4 linked regions of the Drosophila melanogaster genome follow. The gene in region 1 interacts genetically with each later gene. Each region holds a gene or a part of one and is shown in the gene's direction. Other genes may lie near its edges.

The links.
Region 2: of grh (region 1) and fz, changing one enhances a phenotype caused by changing the other (phenotypic enhancement), as found in Drosophila melanogaster (one study listed by BioGRID).
Region 3: of grh (region 1) and Dg, changing one enhances a phenotype caused by changing the other (phenotypic enhancement), as found in Drosophila melanogaster (one study listed by BioGRID).
Region 4: of grh (region 1) and stan, changing one enhances a phenotype caused by changing the other (phenotypic enhancement), as found in Drosophila melanogaster (one study listed by BioGRID).

Annotation. Positions count from the first base shown.
Region 1 is NT_033778.4:17,800,229-17,805,283, forward strand, and holds the start of grh (grainy head), read left to right. Parts: upstream 1-2,017; 5' UTR 2,018-3,163; intron 3,164-5,055. UniProt on the Drosophila melanogaster protein: Transcription factor that binds a CNS-specific regulatory element of the Dopa decarboxylase (Ddc) gene. Also interacts with sequences adjacent to other transcription units, including Ultrabithorax (Ubx) and engrailed (en).
Region 2 is NT_037436.4:14,272,629-14,277,358, forward strand, and holds the start of fz (frizzled), read left to right. Parts: upstream 1-1,714; 5' UTR 1,715-2,426; coding exon 2,427-3,098; intron 3,099-4,730. UniProt on the Drosophila melanogaster protein: Receptor for Wnt proteins.
Region 3 is NT_033778.4:16,095,562-16,100,392, reverse strand, and holds the start of Dg (dystroglycan), read left to right. Parts: upstream 1-1,828; 5' UTR 1,829-2,265; intron 2,266-4,831. Other genes in the region: CG8414 (uncharacterized protein), read left to right, coding at 1-699, 758-1,023; mRpL34 (mitochondrial ribosomal protein L34), read right to left, coding at 1,092-1,314, 1,378-1,400.
Region 4 is NT_033778.4:10,671,384-10,676,358, forward strand, and holds the start of stan (starry night), read left to right. Parts: upstream 1-1,961; 5' UTR 1,962-2,586; intron 2,587-4,975. UniProt on the Drosophila melanogaster protein: Involved in the fz signaling pathway that controls wing tissue polarity. Also mediates homophilic cell adhesion. May play a role in initiating prehair morphogenesis. May play a critical role in tissue polarity and in formation of normal dendrite fields.

The DNA of each region.
Region 1 (5,055 bases):
AAAATGTCCTGGACAAAGGGACGCGCGGAGGGATGGAATGTTTGTTTGTGAATGCTTCTCTTCGGTTTCTTACTTTTGCATAACGGACAGATATAAGACTTTTTGAAGAAAAAAACCAAATATATAAGTACATTTAATGCGATTGTTGTTTGTTTTTAGTTATATACACCGCCACACTCGCACACAAAACACACACACCGATACATGCATACATATATATACTACTTAGCGGTATATGTACAAAAACGTAATCAAGCATTAGTGAAATGTTTCGACCAGTTAAAAACCACAAATTAAATTTATTACATGAAAATCAACTAATGTGTAAACGCAAAAACGGCAAAATCAATAAATAAAAAATGGATTAAACTAAGCCTAAATTTAGTTTTAAACATTTAATATATTGCAACAATAAACCGAAATGAAAATAAAACTCAAATTCAAACTTGAGATGCAAGTGTTTGTAATTGGGCTCCTGGAACTCAACATATTACATTAAATATTTTTAATTTTATCTTTATTTATTGTTACTTATCATCATGAATGTACTTTTTAAATATTTACTGTAAAATTGCATTTTACATAAATATTTTACATTGCGTAGAATGTCTAGTGCTTCAGTGAAAACTAGCGCCCGCTGCTTTACGTTCTTAACCACAGTTCCACGCGTGCGCAGCGCCAAAAGACAAACAACGTGAATTGGTGAGTGCGGGATCCAAGTGGGGGGAGCTCGGAGGAAAGGAAGCTGGGGGGAGTCACCCTTTACCATGGCGGAAAGCACACAAGCACCGTCCGTCGGTTCGTCCGCCGATCCACACGACACAGCGCTGATTGCCGCGCCGCCTGGCGAGGTGAGGTTGTAGGAGCCCGACTGAGGTTAACCGAAAGCCAGGCCGAGAGAACGGAACAGAGAGCGGCGGAGGCTGCGGCGGCACGGCAGCTACTTGGCGTTTTCGATTGTGGTACATGCACAACTATTTTACGTATGTATGCCACACGGAGAAAAAAATCCTTCATTTCACAGTGCTAACAATTCGAGTTGATTTATTTGATTTTATGTTAAATATATGCAATATTCGTAAATTTTTTTAATATTTAATCATACAAAGTGCTTTAGTGATTTAGCTTGTGTATAGGAAACCTATCAACAGTATTTTATATAAGAATTAAGAGTTGAACTATATTAATTATCTGAACTGCTTAACCGCGGAATAGTTTTCAGAAAGTGCATCTTTGTATCCAGTAATTTTTTGCAGGGACTTCTCTTGGCATGCGGTGATCTCGGTCTTTCTCTCCACCTCTCTCCCGCTGTTGTGTGTGTTTGTTTCTCTACCTGATGCCCGATTGCACTACCACTTTCACGCGGTTTACAAGCCGAATGACAACAACAAAAACAGAACAACAAGGCGGCGAGTTCGAAAGCGAAGTAGAGTGAACCGAGCAGCGAATTCGAATTTTCGACGATGAATGCAATGCCGCAGCACAGAAATAAACGCAAAGTCCGGGAGATACGAAATGCAGGAGCGGTTTGCCCGTGTCGAGGGTGGCTGTGGCTCTCTTTCTTGCCCTCTCTCTTTCTCTCTCTTTTGATCTGCCATCTCCCTTCGCCGCAAGTGCATGCTGAAGTGGAAGGTTCGTTGCCTAAGTCTTTTGTACCTGCCTGCGTTTCGGCCTCTGCAGGTGCACCCACACACACACACACAGATGGAAGCACTGGGCTACCTGTGTTTTAGATCGCACTTGTATGGGTGTTTGGGAGTGTAGAGACAACATCATCGATTCGAATGAATTTGAGTGGCGCTGCGCTGCCGGCGTCGCTGCCGCGTTCGCTCAATATCAGTTACGAAAGAGATGAAACCATAAAAAGCAATAATAATCGAGCGCTCTCTAACCAGCGCCGCGAACACAGACATCACCTTGCCACCAATACAACTGCACGACGACGTCGGCAGAGGTGGCAGCAGCGGCGGCAGCAGCACATTCAACAGTTGAACAATCTCCAATTGACTCTTTGGGCATTATAGCCAAGAGCCGAGATCCAGCGACAGCGACGACAAGTTTTCCGCGCACACGGAAAGTCAGCAAGTTAATACACCGAAAATATATAGTTTCAAATCCGACTAATCGTTTCAAATCGAAATTACCTGTGAGTGCGCGTGTGTGTCGCGATATTTGCGAAAAATCCAAAAGTTTCTACGCCAAACAAACAGCAAAAAGTCGCGCTTAAACTTTTTCGAAATTAAATAAAACACACACACGAATTTCAGCCACGAAGAGGAAGAGAAGGCTGAAAAAGCGAAAAAAAACCTCGTGTGTGTGTGCGTGTGTGTTGAGTGCGAGAGTATCTGTGTGTGTGTACGTGTGCATGTCTCTCGGAGAGCGTGAGCTTAAAGTGTGCCTGTGTGTGTGCGCTTGCGAGCTGGAATGAGACGCCATCAAAGCTGAGCAGCGAATAATAAAATGCAAAATAAAAATAGTGATTAATAACAGCAGCCAGAACCAGCAGCAATAACAAATGCTAGTGCGGAAAGCGCGTAAAAAATAGTGAAAATACTCATAGAAAAATAGAAAAAACAACAACAAATTGGCTTGAAAACGCAAATGCCAGGCGCAACGCCCCCGAACCGACCCGCCCCCTCAACTTTTGCGCCCTCCAGTAGCAATAGCAGCAATATGAGCAGCAGCAACATCAAATGTTAGGCCAAAATGCACAAACCGCCAGCAACAAAGGCAGCACCAAGCGAACGAAACAACAACAGCTCCACATACCACAAAGAGTGGCACATTAGAAGCGGCCAAAAGCAGCCAGCCGAGAGCATTGTGTAAGCCAAAGGCCCAGAGAGCCAGGCTAAAAGCCCCCAGACGCACAACAACAACAACAACAACTAAAACAGCACAAAGAGTGGCGAAAGGTGCACCCACCAGCAAAACAGCAACAACGGAGCAACCAACAACAGCAGCAGCAGCAGCAGCAGCCACATTTCAGTTACAGCTCCAGACTCCCAGGTTGCAGACTCCCAAAGCAAACAGACTCCAGTCCACGATCCAGCTCCAGTTCCACCGATCCGATCCACTGCTCCAGCGTGCTCGAGTGCCATAGATCCTCACCAAGTGCCAAAATCCGCATCCTGATCCCAAGAGCTCAAGGCACCCCGGCCCAAAAGTGAGTAGTACTTAGCCTACCAAGAAGTAATTATAAACGCATCAGGCTATGTAGCCCTGGTCGGTTCATGGAGGGATTACACCGTCAGAAATATAGCACCCTATTGACCATTTGGTTTTCGGCTTATAGATCCCTTTTTTCGGGAGATTCCATCACAATAGCTGGTATTCCCAATAAAGAGAGCAATAAAAGCGGGCATTTTTTGGGCACTACTAGGGTGTAGAAACTTTTCAAAAATAAATATTTTTCAAAACTTGATATTTTTAAAAAACATATGGTATTACCAAACTATAAGATATATTTTAGCTAGATTTATACATAGTACGTCAAGTTGATTCGATGGAGTTAATAGAAAAATGGTAATTGGATATTATTTCGATATTATTTGACAACGACAATCTCATAGAAATATTTTTAAACAATTTTGCTGGAGATGTAGGCATAAAATCCATTTAGTTCGTGCGGTTTTAAATTAAAATGCATTCTGCATGTTTTTTTAATAAGTTTTATTATATCTATACGGCTAGGCATTTTAAATGATTTCAAATGTATTGAAACTAAACGATTTCATTACCCTGCTGGCCAGTGTTGCTTTTGAAAGCCTTCGTTCACAGTGGACACCCTGTATGTTGTGCAGACGTAGCCTAAGTCTCTTGGTCCCAGCCTCAACTCGTGTTGTTGTTGTTGTTGTTGTCATTGTTGCTGTTGCTGTTGCCGTTGTGTTGTTGGTGGTATCTTTCGCGCACACATTCCTCTTTGTTTGGTTTTATTTTGTATTTCGTATTTCGAAGTGGCCGCTGCGCAGCGGCAGCGGCAGGTAAGTCGCACAGGTATTGGTATTGCTGTCATATTGCCGTTGTGCTCCCAACAATACCTTGCTAGAGCGGGAGAGTTGGCCATAAAGAGCGGTAGCGAGAAGGGATCAAGACGCCTCTGTCTCGGTCTCGGCCTCTGCCTCTGCGTCGACGTCTACTGCGCAGCCTTCTTGTTCGAAAATCGATGATGTTGCCCAGTGTTTGTGATTACGTTTTCCCCTGGACTTTTGTGCTGCCTTTTGCCTCTTATGTTCTCAGCTTCTTTTTATTATGATTTTTATTTTCTTTCTTTTTTTTTTTTTTTTGATTTTTTCCCTTCTTGATGATGGTGATCAATTTGGGGCTGCGATTATGGTACAGTAAAATGAACATCTACGCAGCACTCACACCGCCAGACACACAGATACATTCAGCCGTGAGATACACACGCACACAGCGAAACAGGCACATGTAACCCACACACAAAAAAAAGGGGGAACTTCGTGAGAGAGTTATTTTATTTTCGTGTTCGTGTTAACGTTTATTGTTTTTCTTTTCTTTAGCCTTTCTTCGTTTCTTCGGGACTTCTTGACTCCGTCTTGCAGCCGTTCCCGTTCCCCTTCGCGCTCGCCACCCCTGCCCCATCCATGCACGCCTTTATTTCCCTGAACATTCCCAAATACACGGAGAGAAAAGGGGATGCATTGATGGTGATATTATGAGGATTTATTTATGCATATAATTATTCTTAAAGAGGCTAAGAAGTCAAAAGCTAAAATAAAATCGTTTCAATGAGTTTCTATATCATCAGATTAATAATATAACTCAAAGTTTTGAATCGACATGGCATTTCTTGCCGTGTACCATCTACCAACTCTCCAGTCTCAGTCATTGGTTATTGATGCCCAACAACTCTGACCGTTGATGTCTTAGGGTTACGCTGCGCATTTCTTCTCTTGTCTTTTCTCCACCTCTCCCATCTACCCCTCTCCATCCCCCCCCTACATTCACGCGAAGTAAGGTAAAGATACGTAAAATCCAAATTTCAAATTATGTCAAATCTTAATGGGATTTGAAATGGAATTGCTTTCGGTATTC
Region 2 (4,730 bases), on another chromosome or scaffold:
TTAACATATTCCAAGCTCCTCTACGGAAATTATAAATTATATGTTTGTTTATTATTATAGTATATAAGTGATTTTAAAAGTGCACTGCTTATTTATCTGAAAATTGTACTTTAATTTTTTGTTAAGTGTATCTAGCGATTGCAAGGGGGAGACCGAGAAAAAGAGCCTTTTTATGCGGCGCAACTTTGGCGCTTTTTATTAAACAAGCCGACGAAGTGTAGAAGCGAAGAATAGGATGAGGAGGTGGCGGTGGGGGAGAACTGGGGTTGATGGAGCCAAGAAGAGAGCGGATAAAAAGAGCAAAGCATAAAATGAACTTTGCCGGCTAAACCGGTAACACTTGTTTAACGCAAAAGAGAGTGCGGGAGAGCCAGTTATGTGCTGAAAGAGATATGTTAAGTAGAGAGCGACAGAGACAGAGAAAGCCTGATCGGAGAAAAGGGTTCTACAGGTGACAAAGACAAAAGACTGCCAAGACTCCTTTAATGTCATCATTATTGTCAATATAACAAGTTTATTGACTGGCAGCAGATGCCTAACCCCCCACACCTCCCTTGGCGATCCACCACGGGGTCATTAGACAAATTCCCGCGATAAGTTCTCTTCACTCATGCTAAAGCTCAGATTAAACGCAAGTTAATGACTTAATTAACTGCCGGAAAAAAGCGAGCAAGTAAACAAACAACAGCAAAAACTAAAGATAAAGATAAATGGTAAATGCAAGTGCGCAGAGAAATGGTCGACGATAAAAATTGTCGCAGAAATCAAGGAAATTAACGCGTGCAAATATGTATTTCTATAGAGGAAGAAAGCTGGAGAAAAGCAATTATTATAGGTATATTCCAGTAGAGGGCAAATGTCTTCTAACGGCACTTGCAACAGCTGAAGATTACCAAAGAACAGTGGGAAGTGTAACGGGCATCGATGGATTGATATAAAAAGATAAGAAGGTGCGGTGACCTAAGCAATATGACATTTTAGAAACTGAAAAATATTTAGCTGACATGCACTGTAACTTTTTGACATTCGGACATAAATGTTGTATACTCATTTCGTTTTCGGATATGTATCCCATTTCAGCAAGGATTTTTTGCTGGCAAAATGATTCTAGTCTTTTTATATTGGAGCCATTTTAAATGCAGCACTTATTTCTTTTATTCATTTTATAAGCATAAGATTGGTTATAATTTATTATATCGAAAAAATGGTTAATTAATTAATATTTAAATTGGAATCTATAAATATTTAAGTATTTACAAAGTGAATATCGATGTTCAAATTTCCATTGAGCGGGCCCAACACCTAGATTTGGGCACAGCTTCCGCCCCTAATTTCCTATTAGCCCTGTCGATTGCATAATCATCTTGAATTCTAATTAATTAAATGGTCTCTTATTTAGTTGTTTGTTGATGCTTTCTTTTTCCTGTCTGCTAATCAACAGGAGGCCAAGAAGTTGAGAGGAGACAGAGTGCGAGCGAGACAGCATCCAAACAAAAGGCATAACAGCCCTGTCTTTCACTTCGCTCTCTTTGGCTCTCTGGCTCTCCCGCCGAGAGTGTCAAATTCAAGGTCGCCCCCAGTGCTATACTACAAAGCGTATAGCTGAATAAAACCTCCTCTCACACCATTCGAGCGAAAGAGCGCATATTCAGCGTGTGAGCAGGAGAACGATACGGTGAGAGAGCGGCTTGGAAAGAGCCCCATGTTTTCAGTTCCTCAGTTTGTCAGCGTATGCCCTACCATGCGGATGTGCTCGCGGATTGATTTCGACTCGAACTCCGGCTCCGTTTTCGTCTTTTAACGTAAGTCCCGTGCGAAAAAGTTGAATTCGACTCCGTGTTTGTTCAGTTATTTTTTTGCGCGGTTTTCGAAAAAGTGAAAGAAATAAGGAAATTCAAAAAGCGGGGGAGGCATAAATGATATACAGCTAACGGTACTTATGTATGTGCATACAGCAAGATAAAAATGTGGCTGCTAGAAAAGTAAAGCCCGGTACTGTGCCAGATAAAAGCCAACGCTACTAAGTCCTAAAGACCCCCAAAAATTAAATTTTGACACAATAATATTTTGCCAACAACAAATAGCAAAGTCGAATTCAAACGGTTAAACCAAATTGAAGTCGGAAAATAACAAAAAAAGTCTAAACAAAATAAAGAGCAAAAGCAAACGCAAATAAGAGAATAGAGAGAAATATTTATTATTTGCTTATAAGGCCAAACTAAATATTTGCCGCCGGCAAATATTTAAAAGGTGTTAAGTGTTTCGTGGGAGTGAAGTTTTTAAACAGGGAAAATAAATCAAATAAGTATTCAATGGTGTATAAGTGAGTGCAAGTAGATGAGCAACATGTGTGTGTTTTAAAGTGTTTAAAGAGATCGAGAAAAAGCCCCAAAAGTTATTTGACAGCGATATCGAAAAATTCCAAAATGTGGCGTCAAATCCTGTTTATTTTACCCACCCTGATACAGGGGGTCCAGCGCTACGATCAGAGCCCCCTCGATGCGAGTCCGTATTATCGCAGCGGCGGGGGATTAATGGCCAGTTCTGGGACCGAACTAGATGGACTGCCACATCACAATCGCTGTGAACCCATCACCATATCGATCTGCAAGAATATACCATATAACATGACCATTATGCCAAATCTTATTGGCCATACCAAGCAGGAGGAGGCGGGTCTGGAGGTCCATCAGTTTGCTCCGCTCGTGAAGATCGGCTGCAGTGATGACCTCCAGTTGTTCCTCTGTTCCCTGTACGTTCCGGTCTGCACAATTTTGGAGCGACCCATTCCGCCTTGTCGATCTCTGTGCGAATCGGCGCGGGTATGTGAAAAGTTAATGAAAACCTACAACTTTAACTGGCCGGAAAATCTGGAGTGCTCCAAATTTCCCGTCCATGGAGGCGAGGATTTGTGCGTGGCGGAGAATACCACATCATCGGCCTCCACGGCGGCCACGCCCACAAGGAGTGTGGCTAAGGTCACTACCCGTAAACACCAGACGGGCGTAGAAAGTCCGCACCGAAACATTGGATTCGTGTGCCCCGTGCAACTGAAAACGCCTCTGGGAATGGGCTACGAACTAAAAGTTGGCGGAAAGGTAAGTTCTTTAATGAAAATAAATTCACTAAAAAGCGCCGAAAAATAAGCATCATATAAAAATAGGGGGTTATAGGCGCATACTGTATACCTTTTAAAACATTAGTTTTCTATTATTTATGCATTTAATTTTATGATTAAACATGTTATGATTATGACAAAAGTTAAAAACAAGTTCTATAATCATCCGTCGGGTGAGCACAAACTTTTAACCATGTCCAAACTAAAAACGAAGTTGCACAAATAAATTTTGGGTACTAACATCTGTTTAGCGAATGTATTTAGCGCTTTCTTGACTAAATGTATGCTTTAAGTACCCCAAGCCTTTTAGTGAGTATTTCGTTTATTTCTGGAACTTAATATGCCACATTTGGGTTGGTCCCATGTAGGTCAATGATTTTTTTATGTCTTCATTTGAACTCCAGACTCAATTTGTAGAGCAGCGTAGAAGTAGGGAAAAATGCAAATCCTGTTGCGCCGAGAAAACAATTTCCAACCACCAGGGAAAACAGCAGGAGGTCCTTGGCAGGCCAGGAATAACGAGAAGAAGGAGAGAAGGGCGACGAGCCCGCATTCTACCTGCCCGCAGCTCACAAAAGATGGTTAACAGCGGCAGGTAGATCGTTTTTTCTTTGGCTTCGGTTGAGGAAAGGTAAACCAGTTCTTTTTGGAGTTGTGTAATTTGTAATGCCTGCTTAAAAGTATTCCCAAAAAAAGTAAAAAAAAAATGTAACATGAACCATAGAATGTTTAATAACTTGAACTGAGGGTCAGCCTGTTGCATTTTCACGTTCTTTAATTAATTTTCCACCCTTTTCCTTTAGCAGCTTTTTTTCGGGTTCTTAAGCCCCTCAGCAGACTGATTTTTCCACGATTTATTTTCTGTTGGTTTTGGATGAGTGATGATCATCGTCTATGTGTTTCCAATGTGTTTATCTTTTGCTATTTTTAGCCGTCACTCTGTTGTTGCCGGCTGCCATAAGTAAAGCGCATTAAATACTTTGAGGCAGGATAATTCACACTTCCCTCAGTGTCTGGATATCTGGCGGATACATGTGTATCTCTTAGCTACTTTACCATTGCGATTTCTCGGTGTTTTTTCTTCTTTCGTCTCACTCGCTTTTTCTTGATTGGTCTCGTTTTTCCTTGGCTGTGTGTCATCAGTTCCTCTTGGCCTTGCTGCCTTCTTTCCATCCCCATATCATCATGGCTGTCAGCATCTTTGGTTTAGCCGGAGTCCCCAGACCCCGTGCTTAAATGCCTTTTGAGAGCTGCGTGCGAAATTTAGCAGCTTGTTTGCCTGGATTGCATTTGGCCCACATCACGATTCTGTCTGTAAGAGTATCTGCAAATGAATCCGTATCTGTATCTCTGTGTGTTTTGGCCCTGTTTGCCGTGCTTTATGAGCTAGATAGGTCTCTTTGTCTGCTAATGATAATGGCGCAGTGTGAGAGCGTGAATTAATGCTTATTGGATAGATAATGATCCGACAATATAAACATATAATTGCCATGTTAGAAACTAGTGGTATTAACAAGCGTTTTATAAGGGCTCCACAGGTACAGATAAGAAATTGGTCGAAATCAAAATTATAAACTTTATGATTAATAGACAAAGAACTATATTTTAACCC
Region 3 (4,831 bases), 1.7 Mb from region 1:
TATTTGTACCCCAGACTATTTCTTGCACCGTAATTGATGAGCCCCTTCTGGGACCGGGCTTCCTGTACAACAGGCAGCCGGAACATGCCATTGTCGTGGGCCACACCAACATTGTCTTGTGCGCAGAGCAGTATGCCCGAGCAGTTATTCAGCTAGTCCAAAACATTCAGAACGATGCCAAGTATTCAAATATTCCTTGGCTGATAAATACGATGGGCTATAATAAGGGATTTGGTATCGAATTGATGGCTCTGCTGGTGGATCGCATTCGTCCCACGGATCTTGTACAGATTGCCAGTCCCATTCCAATCAATAACTTTGATTCTGTCCTCGACCGGAACAGTCTGTCGCAGATAAAACCAATTATATACTCTGCGGAGGAGTTCAAGATCAATGAAATACCAAAATACACACTCCATAAGCTGATAAGTGCAGTGCCTGCAAGGGAAAAAGGAACTTGGAGTCTCAGCGCCAAGGACATGCGGTACTCCAATCTTCTGGCACGTCTCAGTTCCTGCCTGACTGGAAATGCCAAATCTCTTACAGACTGCCAGCCGTTGGGAGTGTCTTTGGAATCCCTGAAAATCCTGCATCCCACCAGCAAGAATTACTCGCGCGAAGAACTGATTCGAGGCATGGAGGCTAATGTAGTATATCTGTGCCATCACGGAGCAGGTCTGCCCCAATGTTTGGGAATAGGTTTGTACACATTCACGTTCTTTTGTGGCTTATTAATTGAATTCCAAAATTCTTTTAGGTGTGGTTCGCGCCATCGACTACGAGCGCAAGGAGTTATACCTGGTGCCAGCAATGCCGCTACAAAAGATGTCCCTGGTGGATTGTCTTATCCTCGGCGGGGAACAGTCCCTGCCGCAGGGCTTCCTTCGGGATCAGGGCCAAGGTGTGTCCAGCAGTGTGCCCTTCGTGTTCATCCTTGACGATTCGAAATCTTCGAAGAGTATTCAGCAGATCTACCATCGAGCGCCAGCCTTTCTGGGAGTACCAGCGAATCAACGAAACTAAAACTGAGCTTACTGTAGCAATCGCAATCGGATAACATTGTAAATAAAGTTAGGTTTATTAACACAAGGCTAGTGTGACAAATTGTGACGTCCTTTGAGGATCCGGTTCATCAGCACTCGTCGTCCCTCAGGCGTCGACATCCTAGCATTCCAGCCGTGGACATTAATTCTCTTCACCTCCATGGGTTTCGGAAAATGGCAGCGTACTTTCGGTTTCAGCACCGCCCGGTTGAAAGCGTGCTTATCCCGCACGATTAGAGTTTGTGCGGTGCTGACAACCGCCAGGCAGGTCCTGCAATGCCAATGTATGTTATTATACCACTCAAAATAAATGGTATATTCATTATTTACTCGCCTTTGGAGCATTCCTTGCAGCATGTTAAGTAATTTCCAGTTAGTATGACCGCATGAAGTCCGAATAATACCGCCTGAACAGCCGGTAAGCCGCTTTGGCGTTGCCAGACCATTGGGTTCGAAATTTCGAACTTAGCTGCATGCTATTTTACGTTAGCATGTAAAATGCATTACATATAGATGGAATCATACAATTAATCTAAAAAATCGTCATAATATTGGTCAAATGGAAAACCACCATATGGGGACAAATTAGATAAACCGCTTTTAATTGAATGGATCTGAAAGTAACCGAAAACTTTTTAAATATGGAATGAATATGTTTGGTTGTACATATATCGAATTGGTATTGTGCCATCTCTAGCTACCCACGATGGTTGTGGCAGCGCAGCTGTTGCAAATGAATCCACAAGATACATTTCGGTATATTTTCCGCAACGGATTCTTTTCCACCCTCAGTTGCGGTCACACTGCCTAGCCAACAACAACCACAACTCGGTGCCGTTAGGGCTGCGTTTGTTTTCTGCTCCCATTCAGCTGCATAGAAAAGAAAGAAAAGTGAAAAGTGTTCGGAAAACAGGCAGCATGTGAAGCATAATTACTCCACGGAATTACTATCTCAAACGAAATAGTTGTCGCCGAAAAGAAGTGCGTAAAATCGCGAGTGAGCTCGTGAAAATAGAATAAAAAAGCGCTCTGCAATTGAAGAGAAACATTGCTGCAGTCGTGTGTACGTGCGTGTGTTTGTGCGTGCGAGTGTGAGTGTCGCTCTCTGGACGCAATTTCTTTGGCCAAAAGAGTGGGGAAGTGGGGCAGGAGAGTCCCGAATCGAATCCCCGAAACAGGCAATCCGAATCCGAATCCGGTGCATTAAAAATAGCGCAACGAGGTGAGTAAAGATGCAAACTGCAGCATTCAGTTCACGAGCTGATGCCAACAAAAAGAACTCCAATTAGCCATGTCTGCAGCCAGCCAAAAAAATAATGAAGAACGGCAGAAAAAATACAACAAGAAAATCGATTTTCCTGAACTTACAATTTTCTCCGCCTCACTGGGCAAAAGGGGGGGCGAAATGGAGCTTGGGGAGCCGGCTACGGCTCCATAAAGTATACATAAATTGAATTTCGAAACACGGAAGCGAAATGGATGCACTGGACGAAATAATGAATAAATTATTTTGATATCGAAAAGTTATTCTCGTTAGAAAAAGTTTCGCTGAGGGTCTCGAACGCAGTCTGTTTTTATAAAAGCATATTATTTAGCCTTATCAAGCAAGAGGATGAATAAAATTGCATTAAAATGTATTTCGACTAAATTTCGACTTGCTATACTTTATTTCTCTGCGTGTAAAAGGGGGCAGGAGGCTGCACACGGCTGTTGTTCTTGTTTTGTTTGCTGGTGTGGATGATGATGGAAATACTTGCATATGTGTGTGCGTTCTGCACAGAGGGAGATGTAAAAATTGAAAAATCTGACCAGAAGCAGGACCCTCCGACTTTTGGTCCAGTTGTCATGGCCACCGCACTTAACAAATGATTTTAGCGGCCACTTTTTCCCGGATGCGAATGGGGCAGCTGTCACTCCGTTTGCCTCCTCCTCCTTTTCTCCTTTTTCTGATTTCATCTGTCTGCCCCTTTCTATCTTGCTCTCTCCCCGTGTTCTCCAACGTGTGTGTGTGTGTGTGCGTATTTTGATGACGGCACTCAGTTTCCGCCCGCACTGTGATTTTTGGCCATACACGGCACCAATGTTTCAGTACAGTGGAACCTGGTGCGCAGGAACCAAATGAAGTTAAGTTTAAAACTGCATTTACTGCGACCATTTATGAAATTTTTTAAATGAGTTACATTTCAGGTTCTTCTAGATTTGTTTTAATGTGAGTAAACAATTTCTGCTTTAAAACGTAAAACTCACATGTACATAATATACAATTGTTGGCAAAGCAATAAAAACTTATTACTACCATAAAAATAAATAGGTCGACATTTTCAGACGCAAGAACGCATAGAATGTGTGAACAATACGTACAATAGCTTATTGACACAATATTTAGCATTCAGCGGATTAACTCATCAACGTTGGTTTTTGATTGAATGTGTTATATTATCTATTTATGTACATATTATATTATATAATATTTCGGCATAGGCTTTAACTAACTTTATGCTTGCCACTGTTTAAACTGGCTTGGTTTATCATACGTTTTTCCCAATTCGCGAGTGCCTACTGTAGAAAATCCCCGGCATTACCACTCAGTTTTCGGCACTCTTTTGCGGATGCTGCGTACGCAAAAAGGGGACGTCGGCTGTTCTAAGAGGACTAGATGTTTCCTTTTCACTTCCGCCAGCACCCCTAAATTACGTGTCTCTGTGTGAGTGTCTCTGCACGTGTGTGTGTTGCGTGCAAGTGTGTTTGTGTGTGTGGGCCAACAAAATTACTTTTACGAGCATTTAGCATAGGTTGTTGTCCCTTCGCCCATTTCCCCGGTTTCCCTTCGCCACCAGTTAGTTTTATTTTGATGCGTTTTTAATCAGATTGCGTCAATTTGTTGCTGGCCCAACGATGAGGGCGGTCCCGGTGGAGGGGGGGGGCGTTGGGATTGTCCTATTAGCGCTTGTGTGGGAGTGAGCGACCATTTCCCGGGTTGCGTGTCAAGTGCAGACCCTTTTTTCGCCCGCTTTTTTCACTAATTATAAGAATGTCTGTTTTGGCCTCGCATCTGGATGATGGCTCGTCATTGGGCTTACATTCTCGCTTTTGATGACTCAAAACTTAACTTTTCACTTTTGCAGTTCTCTTTGTGGCACCCACGCAATTAATTGGATTGATAGATTGAAAGCCTTTTGTTTTTAATTTTAGCAAATTAAATGCAAGAATAATACTTAAATGATTATATAGATATAAACTTTGAAATTTGATTATGATAATATGATAATATGAAAACAACTTGTGCTGAAGGAGAGACAGCCGAAGTTTAGGCACCAATTTGCCAGCAAAAGATAACAAGAATTCATTGAATTATGTTTGTTTTAACCAGTTAGGTTATGCATTCTTATGTAAAGTTTACCTTTTCTATAAACTGTAACTGATGTTAAATTTCATTTTTTGTATTCGTTAGTTAGTTAGTAAGGGGATCAACACTTCGTTGTTCAGTCGCCTTGTTTTTCTTAGTACCAATTCTTTTTGCTTTGCGCTTCTCCGTGGCCCGTTAAAGTACAGAAATACTTGGCCAGGCCGGCCGGAGTGCGAGTATCGTATCTATCATGGCGGCAGCTGTCCAATTCTCCAACCAGCCGGCACTGGATCGCTGTTTGTTGTTGTTGCTCTTGTATCTGCTGTCTGTCGTCTTCATCAACGCCTTAGTATCTGTGTTCGCTTGCTTATTTATTTGTGTGCGAGAGTGAGTAAGTGGCGCTGTGTGTGTTGTTGGCTTGAACTTTATGGCATTGCGTTGT
Region 4 (4,975 bases), 7.1 Mb from region 1:
CTTGCGCACATTGAGGTTCAGTGAAGCGGCAGCAAAACCCCTTCGCCTTCCTCCCCTTCCTGCGTTTTTATATCGCTCGCAGGCGGCACTTGCATAAACCAAATGCAGAGACAAGTGTCTTCGTCCTGCAGAGAGAGAAAGATGTGGACACTATGGATGGATAGCCACTCAATCCAAACAAAAATGTGCCACATAAACAAGAAGACGCTGATACGTTGAGTGCATTTTACATATTTTTTTACTACTCTCAGATTGTTTATTTATATTGAATACAAAAATCGGACTTTGCTTATTTAAACAAAATTCCTCGAAGTGATATTTTTCCAAGTGTTTGGCCTGCTTGGCTGGACACGCTGAATCGTGGAGGTTTGGCCTTGTTCCCTCCTGATAACCCATCTTCCAACTCCGATCTCCGAAAAGGGCTGCCGGCTTTCGACGTGTGTCAAGTGTGCTGCATTTGTTTAATGCCAGCGCTCAGTAATTGGAAAGCATGTCGAACATGTCGAATTTATTGCCCCGCAAAAAGCACACAGATACAAATTGAAACGGTTACAGATTACGGATGCAGCTAGCTACACATGGCCACAAGGTTACATAGACACGGATACAGATCAATGGGGGAATTCAGAGCATTCCGAGTCAATGGCTTGGAAGAGCCTCAACCAAATGCAATTAATCAAACGCAAGGGGCCAATGTCAATTACATGCAAGAAACCCCCATTTCGGTCTCCTATTCTCCTATTCCTTCGATTCCTCCCAAAATCCCTTCGATTCGTTGCTATTCGGAAGTATTCGGACCACGTCAGCTGGCCAAATGCGAGTTGTTGGCCAAACGACGATGTCTTGGCCAACACCTTCCTGTAAGCTATAAATTCCGCCGACACATACATACATCTACCAGCGTAGCCATTACCCACGACTGTTGTCCTTGTGGGCCAAAAGCTTGTTCGGTTTCTGGGTCCCAGCATATGTTTATCACTGCTGCCGAATTCTGCCAACCAAAATTGCATTAAATATTTTGCATAATTCGATAAACTGAAATCTAATCGAATGGCAAGCAGGAACATGCGAATTTCTGGCATACCTATGTATAGATCCCAATTGGAATAATGATTCATCCCTAATGGCTTCGTAATTGAAACTATTCACTTAACAGCTCTTGACACTTGAACCTCATCATAACATGGAAAACGGTCATTTGGTCGGTTTTAATGGTGTACTACATTTTTGGTTTTGACAGTGAACTTTTAGCATATTATGTTTCTGAACATAAATTGCGTTGATTTAGACTATCGCTTAATTATGCCAAATAATATGTTTGTTTGTTTATTTAGTTTTCAAACCAAGGCGTTCAACAGAAAATGAATTATTATTGGTGGGACACAAAAACTAGGCTATATGGAATATTATTTATTAATATTAACAAATGAATACACCACATGTAAATTTATAAGTTAGCAATTTTATGTTCAAGTTTTACCCGTAAGGGATAATGTTCCACCATCTTTAGATTCGCAAACTAATTCCGATTACAGGTGTTGGCCCGATGCACAGATAACACATTTATTTAACATTTATTTAATAAATAGTAGTAAAATTATATAAATATCACATTTAATAAATTGAGTCGATTTAAATCTTTGAGCATGCAAAGCGTGCTGCAAAACTAATTTACTGATAAGAAAAAGACTTTCGAAGTTTCCAAAGATTGAATATCCTACAGGTTGAAGAATCCTGGATCAAATTGCACGTTTTTATGCTCGGGGATGCAAACCGAAATTTGGTGGCACCTCTCTCTGCTGCCGCAACATGTTGCAACAGTCGCGGCAATGTTGCTGCAACACGCAGTCACCCCCCGCAGAAAATCCACCACCGACGAAAGTATCCATCGGATACACGAACTCGCTTCGGCTTCCAACTGAGTTTTAGCAAGAAACTCAGTTTCTGTTTCTGGTTTTGCCAGTTACCACTGCGACTCCGGACCGATTGGACGCGTTTTGAGCGTTTGGCCAGCAAGAACGGTATTATTTTTCACTCGGGGCTACGCGTGCGCGTCTCTGCAAAGTCAAAAGCAAAGACAAATGCAAAGGCAAGTGCAAAGCCAAAAGGCAGAGGTAAACGCAAACCCAAAGTAACAACTTCGACGGTCGAAATTACCGGTTTTTCGCCAACACAACATACAACAATCCTCGCTCTCAGTGAATTTTAGCGCGCGGTCTTTTCTTCGCCTGCTGTTTTCAGAAAAGTGCGTTGGCTTTTCCAACAACCACCCCCTTTTTTTAGCCGCCCAGCTTAACGGTCGGGGTTATAGTCGGTTTAGCATTCGAATTATTCGAATTTCCCGGAATCAAAATAGTTAAATCAGTTTAAACAGTGCTCTAGAGTGAGGCCAGTCACACAAACTGGCGAGTGCTAATTATAATATATTGTGTTAATAATACAAACACAAGATTCACGCAGAGGAAACAACACGGATGCGCGATTTTAAATGCAATATTATAAATATTTAACAATGCAGCCGTGCAGCTAAAGCGGATTATTGGCCACCCACGCGTGGAAATTCAGCGGCAGAGCAAACAAAAGCCTGTAAGTTCACACGTTCCAGCCAGGATATATCAAGGATATGTGCATGTGCTCGCGCATATACATATGTCCTTGTGGGCGGGATGCGGCTGCATTCTAATGGGAATTGTGCGACGCATGACACCTGATTCATGACGTATGACAGGTGTCGTTCCAACAGGACACTATATGTTCCGCAGGCGTGGCCTTAAATCTCTTAGATAAACTTCGTATTTAAGGGCTTACGCCATAGCGGAATCGCGTAATTCATATTTTCAAAGGGTTATAAGCTCTAGAAAAGTATTTTGTATCTGCATATAAATGGGGGCCTGTATGAAATATTGCTAGAACCTTTATTTGTTATATGATATGGAAAGACGCTTAGTGGTTCTGGCTACCTCTGAAATGTTTCGATTTAAGACGTTCTTAATTAACGGCTTTCAGCTCTAGGGCTTCGGCAATAAAATAGAGCTCCAATTGGGCCTTTAAACCTAAGGCCTCTTTCTTGGCCATCTCCAATTAGCAGTTGGCCCAAACAGTTGGCCGATGGCCGAAGTCGAAGTCGAAGTCCGACGCTCACACAGTGCAACTGTTAAAGTTCAGAGCCATCGCAAAAAGATACAAACGCGAAGCTCTAAACAAACATTAAACTGAATACCAAATGAGACAACAAAAGGAGGAAGCACAATAAAAGTCACATTAAAACGTGGGTCAAAAACGCGGAGAGCGCGAGGAGAGAAAGGAGAAGAGTTGGGTCAAAACATAACCGAAATCGGAATCGGGGAATCGTGGAATCAAATGCCTGCACGAGATACAAATGTATCTGTATCTGAGCGTTGCAAGTGCTTTGTTTTCCCTGCATTTCACACTTGTCCATGGGATTTTGCCTTTGCCATTGCGTTTGTATCTTTGTTTCTGCGCCCTTTGTCTGGCGCATAAATATTTCAGCAGGCCGGGACAAACTTATCTGCTGGATACATTATTCACTCGACTCAGTTTTGTCGGATTGCCAATTTATTAAGATAGATTTTATTTTCGAGGCCATTAACAGGGCCTTTGTTATATTTCGATGGGGGCCAGATACTCTCGCACATTTATGTTTTATGATTTTCTAGTTGGAATGCGGTGTGTTTGGTGCAATTGGAAGAGTCAAGTCAAGTCCATTTTGAGCCTGCCAGTGGCAAGTAGCTGAAAAATTGTTGTAAGACTGGTTTTCTGCTACTGCTCCTCGTTCGACCCCTTTCTCCCTGCCTCTCTCTAGCTCTCTCTGTCTCTCTTTCTCGGCGTGTTACCAACCTTTTCCCATTCTTCTTGCGGCTGGTGCAGAGAAAAAAAAGTTATTTACTTAGGTTAATTATGTGATCCAAGTTTAGTTACACACAAAAACATCAAATGTCGTTCTATTATATTTTATAAGACGATTAATATTAAGAGTTAAAGGCTTAAGGTGTTATCCTTTAATTTTTACAATAGGCTGTTTTCTTGAAATATGTGTAGAATGAGTTTAATCCATTTATATTTGAAATCAAATAATTGCGGATATAAAGATTAAGTTGTAGTAGAGGAATTACTTGAATAAAATTTAAGAAAAAGTAGGTAAATAAAATATTTTACCGTGCTTAAAATGAGTTTGTTAGCGCCTGGCTCTCTTCGCGGTTTTGCAGCTGTCTCGGCCAGGTTAGGAGCAATCCACCACCGGCAGGCAGATCCGCTACGGGCCATCATCCTGACCAGAACGCATCCTCTTCTTCTTCGGTAGCCGCAACCTGTTTTTCATTGGTTATGTTTTTTGTTTTTTTGAGTTCGAAGTGATCAGTTAAGACTTCAGTTGGCCAAGGAGCCAACGAAAAAGGTGATTTTTTCCGGCTTCTGATGCCACATTCACTGCGAATAGCCAACTCGCACGGCGAACTAACCTCAGTCAATCCATTCGATATCCATGCCGGCATAGGAAAACTCGTTATGACTCTTGATTAATTAACATTTGAATGCTGTCTCGTGCCAGTTAATGTGGCTGATTTGTGACCGGCTTGAGTCCATCAAAATATCAACAGTCTATTGTGGAATTTATTACAGAATCAGAGGGCCAATGGCCAAATGAGATTTGCATGGCATGGAGTTGGACGAATTCGTGTGCACACACCAGAGATTCATTGATGACGTTGATGGTCCACATTTTTCGGTATCTTTTGTGGGTTTATGGTGGCCTCTCTTGGCCACTACTCACACGGCTATCCATGAGATACTTCTGCGTAGGCATCGGCCCTCTTGGTCGCGCACTCAAAACTGGTTTCGGCCACATTCAAAATTGTTATGTTAGAATAAAAGCTTAATTGATGCATATACACACGTACGGTTCAGTTTTATACGGCAGCAGTGGTCCGTAGATACAGCCGAAAAAAAAAACAGTCAG